Canis lupus familiaris: one gene and its partner. The protein of the gene in region 2 interacts with the protein of the main gene of each other region in a pairwise test. Links are inferred from orthologs where the notes say so. Each region holds a gene or a part of one and is shown on either strand. Other genes may lie near its edges.

The links. The genes of interacting proteins can lie anywhere in the genome.
Region 1: the proteins of PEX13 (region 2) and PEX14 interact in a two-hybrid assay, tested with the Homo sapiens proteins (2 studies listed by BioGRID and IntAct, with this or other methods). The link is inferred for Canis lupus familiaris from reciprocal best matches to the Homo sapiens genes PEX13 and PEX14.

Annotation. Positions count from the first base shown.
Region 1 is NC_049223.1:84,907,774-84,911,517, forward strand, and holds the start of PEX14 (peroxisomal membrane protein PEX14), read right to left. Parts: upstream 2,552-3,744; 5' UTR 2,485-2,551; coding exon 2,449-2,484; intron 1-2,448. UniProt on the Homo sapiens protein: Component of the PEX13-PEX14 docking complex, a translocon channel that specifically mediates the import of peroxisomal cargo proteins bound to PEX5 receptor.
Region 2 is NC_049231.1:62,394,008-62,397,751, reverse strand, and holds the start of PEX13 (peroxisome biogenesis factor 13), read right to left. Parts: upstream 2,585-3,744; 5' UTR 2,521-2,584; coding exon 2,429-2,520; exon of another isoform or gene 2,128-2,428; intron 1-2,127. UniProt on the Homo sapiens protein: Component of the PEX13-PEX14 docking complex, a translocon channel that specifically mediates the import of peroxisomal cargo proteins bound to PEX5 receptor.

The sequences.
Region 1 (3,744 bases), on a different chromosome or scaffold from region 2:
AAATCTATATTCTGTAATACGTTCCATATTCAACAACCACTAAACAATTAGACTGAATCATGCTTCTGCTCTTCTGGTGGAGAAGTGCAGAAACAGGATAACAGCTCCCACTCCTATGGGCCATACCACGAACAGACTAGAAGGGCCTCTCCTAAGAGATCAACCATGCAAACTAGAGTAACATGGGGGAAACAGAACAAGGATGAGAAGCAATAAATATGATTTCTAAGTCCAAGAGAATGTCTTGAAAAAAGACCAAAAAGATCAGCATTATGAAAAAAGCAAGTGTGTCGCCATCTAAGAGTCACAAAGGACAGCTAGGATAAACACCAGCATTTGGGGTATTCCTTTAAATTGGAAAGAAATTGCTCCAGAACAAAGAAAAGAACAGCTTTAGTGGGCTGGTAGTCAACATGTGAAAAATCATATCCTAAAACATTATAATAAGGCTTGAGAAAGATTTCTCTCATTGGCGAGTGAAAATCCAGAGTTTAATGAATGCAATAATAACATCACAGCATGACAAGCACTATTCCAAAATAAGTTAATTTGGGGACATCTGGGTGGCTCAGTTGCTTAAGTGTCTTGACTCTTGGTTTTGGCTCAAGTCATGATCTCTGGTCTGGGGATGAAGCCCCCGGCTGGCTCCACACTCAGCAGAGAAGTCTGCTTGAGACCCTCTCTCTCTCCTCTTCCCTCTGCCCCTGCCCTGCTTGCACACACAGGTGCGCACACTGTCTCTTTCAAATAAATCTTTAAAAAGTTTAAATAAGTTAATTTATTTACTCCTCAGAGAAACCCTCTAAGACAGGCACCAGAATTATTCCTAGTGTGCAGATGGAGAAACTAAAGCCAAAGAAAGCTGTAAGCAGTGAGGCTAGGATCCTAAGCCGGCAGGATGGCGCCGGGGCCCATGCCGCTGTTCTCCACGGCCTCTCAAAGGAAGCAAGGGTTGACGTCACCCTGTGTCTTTCAGAACGAGAGACCGAGGCCACAAGGCCGACCGACAGAGACCTTCTGTGAAATAAACACTGACTCGTCCCGAAGGTACAATGTGTTCTTTCTTGCAAACCAGGTTTACAGGAATTTGCAAGTAATCCTTTCCATTCCACTCTGCTTTGACTGCAGAACCAGGGAAGCCGAGCGGATCAGGATCTGACAGTGAAACGGCAAGCGAGTCCTGCGGGAGCTGGTTCCTGGTCAGTGTGCACCTGCGGCTTAGTGCTAGACACGGACAGGATCCGGCATGGAGGGATCTAATTCCCCGCAGACGGCCAGCGTCCTGGGGCAACCCCAGTTCCAGCAGCTCTGGACAGGAGGGCAAAGGACAGGCAGAGCCGACAAGCAAACAGGTGCGGGCCAAAGCCCCGCAAAGGGCCTGGGAGCCGCTGCACACCTACCGGGGGGACAATCTCCTGAACCAAGGGGCCCTCGTGCACTAGGACGGCTGCAGGTGGCGGGCTGTTGGGGGCCTTCCCCGCGCTGGCGACCTAAGGCCCTGGAGGAGTCGGGGCTGACGGCCGCGGTCCGAGCGGTGGGCGATCCTAGCACGCGGCGGTCGTCAGAGCCGGGTTTCCTGGGGCCCCGCGGCGCGAGGCCGGAGGGGGCCCGGCCGCCTCGGGATCCCAGACCGCCCGGGGCTCCCGCCGCTCCGACCCACACGTCGTCTCCGAGTCGCTCGCTGTAGCAGAAGCTGGTCTGGGGGCAGGCGCTGTCCGTGCCGGGCCTGCGGCAGCCCCACCGCCAGGGACGCGGAGGGAGCGGCTTCAGGCGATGAAGGAGGGAGCTGGCGAGGGAGGGGCGGGGTCGGGTCGGGGTCAGGGTCGGGTCGGAGTCCCGCGTCGGGGAGGGGGCGGGGTCAGGGTCGGGTCGGCGTCCGGGTCCGGCGTCGGGGTCGGGGCGGGGTCAGGGTCGGGTCGGCGTCGGGGTCCGGCGTCGGGGTCGGGGTCGGGTCGGGGTCGAGTCGGGGTCGGGTCGGCGTCGGGGTCGGGTCGGCGTCAGGGGCGGGGTCGGGGTCGCGATCGGGGTCGGGTCGGGTCGGGTCGGGGTCGCGGTCCGGCCTCCGGCTCCCCCGCCCGCGGATCCCGTCCCGGAGGCCCCGCACCGCGACCTGCTGGGGCCCGGCTGCGGCAGGAGCCCCAGGCCCGCGAGGCGTGGGGCCGACCCCGCGGCCGACGGGCGGGAGCGGGCGGCTCTGCAGGCGGCGGCTCCCCCGCGCCCCCCACCCCGCGCCCGAGGCCCACGGCCCCTCGCGGCCGCCCCCGGGCAGGAGCCCCGCCGCCGCGGCCGCCTGCGCCCCGAGGGTCCCGCCGCCTCCCGGCCGAGCGCAGGAGGCACCGACCCGCGCGGGGCCGCCGGGGGCGGGGCCGGGGGCCTGAGGTCGCGGCCGCCGGGCGGGGAGGCTCGGGGCGCCGCGGCAGCCGCGGCGGGGCAGCCCTCTCCCCTCACCTGGCTCGGCGGCTCTGCCTGCTCCGAGGACGCCATCTTCCTGAGGCCTGGCTAATCCATCGCCGCTGGGCGAGCGCCTCCCAGGAGCCCCCACGCGCTCGCCCGCGCAGACCAGAGCAGCCGGCACTGAGCAGTCGATGAGGGCGCCTGCGGGAGCACCGACCGCGAGCAGGGCGCGCTCACACGGCCGGGTCACCCCGCGTGTGCCCTCGGGCCCCGTTCCGGCAGCATCCTGAGCCCGTCCTCGCTGCATCATTCTCACTGCATTAAGTCGCTGTCCAGCCCCACGGTGCCTCGGGCACAGGCATGGACTCGCTAGGTCTCGAACGAATGAACGAATGGGAAGGAACGTGGAAGTTAATCAAGAAATGGTCCTGCTCGGTATCGTTTGCGGAGAGCCTACCGCGGATGCTCACCCAACCGCAGCATCTGAGGAGCCCGCCCGCGGCTTGCACGCCTACGGGGGGACGCTGAACGGGGCTTTCCGCGGCGGAGATCCTTCTCGTCCTCTAGAGTCATCGAGTTGTTAGGTTTTAGGCCGAGTGTAGGGTCGCACACCAAGATTGCATGTGTTACACAAGGGGTCAGTCCATATTGCGGCGTTTTGATGGATTATGGAGTATTCAAAAGGGCTGCCTCAAGGAATAGTCTCCCTACAAAGATTGTTGTTTTGTGTTTCTTGGTTTGTTTTTGTTTTTAAGATTTTATTTATTCATTCATGAGAGACACACAGAGAGGTAGAGACACAGGCAGAGGGAGAAGCAGGCTCCACGCGGGGAGGCCAAGGTGAGGCTCAATCCCAGGACCCCGGGGTCATGACCAGAGTCAAAGGCACGCCCAACCACCGAGCCACCCAGGTGCCCCCAACACTGTTTTAAATGCTTACCCTTATCTTATGAGATAATACCTTATTTTCTTTTAAACAAAGTATGGAAGAGACTGAATGAATATGGCCTATTTCTCATTTACACAATAGGCCTCCCCTTTTAAGCGAGGAACTTTTTAAATTTTTTTACTATTATTTTAATATTAAACGTTTTTCAGAGGGGGTAAGTAGTAGTATTAGAAGAAAGAGGAATATGGGCAGCCCGGGTGGCTCGGCGGTTTAGTGCCGCCTTCGGCCCAGAACGTGACCCTGGAGACCTGGGATCGAGTCCTGCGTCAAGCTCCCTGCAGGGAGCCTGCTTCTCCCCCTACCTGCGTCTCTGTCTCTGTGTCTCTCATGGATAAATAAATAAAATTTAAAAAAAAAAAAAAGAGGAATTTATTGCCAAGCAGCAGCTGGACAATGTCAAA
Region 2 (3,744 bases):
AACAATAAATATGAAAATTTTGGTTATATTTAAATTAAAAGTATCTATACAACAAAAGTGAACATGAATACAAATACAGCAAGAAGACAAGTCACAGACTGAAAGATATTGAAAACATACAAAAATAGAGTAAGTATGAATAAAGGACTTTTAACAAGTTGATAGGCAAATTTGGAGCCAATAAAAAAAGTGGGCAAGAAATATCAACAGAAAAAACTCAAATGGCTAATATTCAAAAAGATGCTCATAAAAAAAAAGATGCTCAATCTTATTACTAACCAGAGAGTACAAATTAAAAATGAAATATCTTTTCTTATCTATTAGGTTGGCAAATAAAGAACTAAAAAATAACATCAAGTGTTAGAAAGAATGTAGAGACACAATACTTTGCTAGTGAAAATGTAAACACTGGTATAAAACCACTTTGGGGAGCAACTTGGCAATAGTTAGTACTTGAAGCTAAGCATACCCTCCACCAAGCAATTCCACTTCCAATAACAATTAGGAAACACCTTGGAAATGAGGACAAGAAGAAAGGCACAAGAATGGTCACTGCAGAGGCACCTGGGTGGCTCAGTGGGTGTCTGCCTTAGGCTCAGGTCGTGATCTCACTGTCCTGGGATCAGTTGGCATTGGGCTCCCTGCTCTGAGGGAGTCTGCTTTTCCCTCTCCCTCTGCCCCTTGCCCCTGCTCATGTTCTCTCTCTCTCTCTCTCACAAATAAGTAAATAATCTTTTAAAAAAATCACTAGCGGTTTTTAATATGTAGCTAATACTTTAACACCTACAACAGAATAAGTTTGTTTTAATAGAATATCCTTTGGCGATTAAAATGAACTACAGATGTAAGTATGAACAAGAGAAACCTCAAAATCAGTATTTAATGGAAAAAATTTGCAAAATGATAGTTTGAACATAAAGTCTAAAAACACACTAAACACTATACACACAGATACACACACACACATAAAACACAAAAACTGCTAAACTATAAAAACATAATTGGGCACACAAACCACCAAATAGGGACAGTAGTTATAGCAGGAAAGAAGAATGGGAGGCTTAACACTTTCTCTAAGTTTTATTATTATTTTTTTAATCTGAAAAAAAAAAAAAATCTGAGGCAGATCTGGAAAAATGTTCTTAAAGCTAGCCTGAGTCCGCAAGTATTCCTTGTCTTAACACTCTACCAGATTTCTATGTGTTTAAAATTCTCAACGAAGAAAAATGGGGGGAAAAAAAGGTTAATTTTACATAAACAGGACTTTTAACAAGATGCCAAGTATAAAACCTGTCTTCCCAAATTGCTGTTCAAGGTTTTAAAAAAAGTCCAATGGCGGGGGGGGGGGGGGATCCCTGGGTGGCGCAGCGGTTTAGCGCCTGCCTTGGGGCCCAGGGCGTGATCCTGGAGTCCCGGGGATCGAGTCCCACCCACGTCGGGCTCCCTCTGTGTGTGTCTCTCATGAATAAAATAAATAAATAAATAAAACCTTAAAATTAATTAATTTAAAAAAGTCAAATCATTCATAACACAGCAGAAAGCGTCGCCCTCCAACTTAACAGTACAATCAAAGCTTATTACTCGTGATGAATCTACCATTATTAGATTAAGCTGCTAATGTGTTCAAGTATCTCAACATTTCAACAAGGATTACAAGATCTTACAACACAGCAGGAATACACCCAGTATATGGGGGTGGGGGGTGTGTGGGGGGGTTCTCCCTCTGCCTGTGTCTCTGCCTCTCTCTCTCTCTGTGTCTCTCATGAATAAATAAATAAAATCTTAAAAAAAAAAGACACCGATGAGAAACAAACAAATAAATAAATAAACAACAACACACAGGCCTTGGAAAAGTGACCCACAAAGGCCATCTACATATAGGCCTCGGATTTAGGACTCCCGCTTGAAAGTTGCTTCTCCAGGTCTTTACCCAAAACGTCGCTCAGTTATGCAGAAAAACAACATAAAGTGCATAGACCTGGGTTCACAGCGACCTTCGGGGCCTCCACCAGCTGCCCGAGAGGCGCCGTAAAAGCCGGGCGGAGACTTTGCTCCCTCCGGGGCGACCTGGGGCTGGGCCAATCTCAGCCACTCACACCTGCCAAAGACCAAAAGTCGAACATTTTTTTCTAAGGGCCGAGCGGTTCTGTCGCCGTGTTCCGCTCCCAGGAAACGGAGGCAGGAAAGCCTCCCGCTTTCCTGCAGGCGCCGGGACCCAGGGAGGGTCCCCCTGAAGAGCGTCCCTACCGAGAGCCGTCCAGTCCGAGAGAGCCGTGCGGCCCCGGAGTGGTCTCTAGCTTAGACCCCTCGGCGCCCGGGCCCGGCGCGGGGGGAGGGGACACCTCCGCCCCACAACGGCCTCAACCGTCTCCTGCCAAACCGCCGCTCCGCCCCGCCAGCCCCGCGGCCAGAAGAATCCCACACTCACTGGAAAGAGGGGCCGGGGCCCGGGCCCGGCCCGACCCCAGGAATTCGCCGGGTCTCCCAGGGTTTCGGGGGAGGAGGCGGCTGGGAAGCCATCTCCTCCGCCACCGCTCGCCTCCCCGTCCGCGCTGGGACTCCCCAGGCCCGGGGACAGCAGCACCTCGCCAGGCACAACGGGCAGAGCACCGAGTTCTCCACCCCCGCCCACCCCGGCCGCCAGCGCGCCGCCTGCGCTACTCTGCCAGAGGGCACCTGAGGCCAGGTCGCTGCTGCTAATCCACCGGGGGTGGGGGGGTGGGGGGGTGGGGGGGGGGGGGTGGGACTCTCTCTCTTTTAATTTGCAATTATGTCCATTGTAAACCTGAAGGTAGGCGCTCATCGATATTTCTGGCAGCGGCTACAACGCCCTAGACATCGGAGTCCTATGGAGGCTTCTCTGGGACGCTGCGAGTTCTGTCCCCCGCACTTCTACCGCCCGCGGGGTTGGCAGTGGGGGCAAGGGGTTGTGGCGGCGGGCCAGGCAGCTTTTCTGGTTTCCCCACAAACAAGAAGAGGCGAGAGTTCACTCGCTCAGCCCTTTGCGAGAGGGCCTGGTACTTTCGTTCCAAAGCTCTCGTTTCCTCGGGGAACAGAATTGCGTCACGCAGTAGGTGCGTTGTCTTTAGTCTTCCCCCCGTTCCCTCTGGGGGACCGGAAGGGGTTAAAGCCCAGGCTCCCGCGTCGCGAGAGAAGGTGAGGCAGGAAGGTCTGGGGGGCGGGGCGGGGGCCGGGGGGCGCGGGCTCGGACGGGGCGCTGCAGAGGTGTGGATGGACCGGGTGGCGTCCTTCCTCCAGGAGCGGCCTCGTTAGCAGGAAGGGGCGAGCGGGAAGTTCCTCGGACCCGACCGCAGCCGGGGAAGGGCTCGCCTGGCCGGAGGAGAGACTGGAGGTTAGGCTCTGGATGCATTTCCACGCGTCTAGAGTGGATTTTGCAGCGGAGAGCGACGGTAGCGCGATGAAGTTGTGAGCGTCTCCTTCGAAAAGTGCACGTCCTCCGCCGCCGCCGGGAGACGAACCACACACACGCTTCGGTATGGAAATGAGCGTTGGAAGATCCCGGGGTGCGAGACCCAGTTTGGCCATATTGTGTGTGTGTGTGTGTGTGTGTGTGTGTGTGTGTGTGTTTTCACACGCCCTGCTCCTTCCCTATCTGTAATGAATGGCTTCTGTTTAAGTCCAAGAGGTGAAAAGAAAGTCCGCCGTCTCCTCCAGGCATCGCTGGCCCGTGGAGAACTGACTCAGACCCCGGTTCAGGATCCTGGCAGGTGGGAGGAGGTCCTG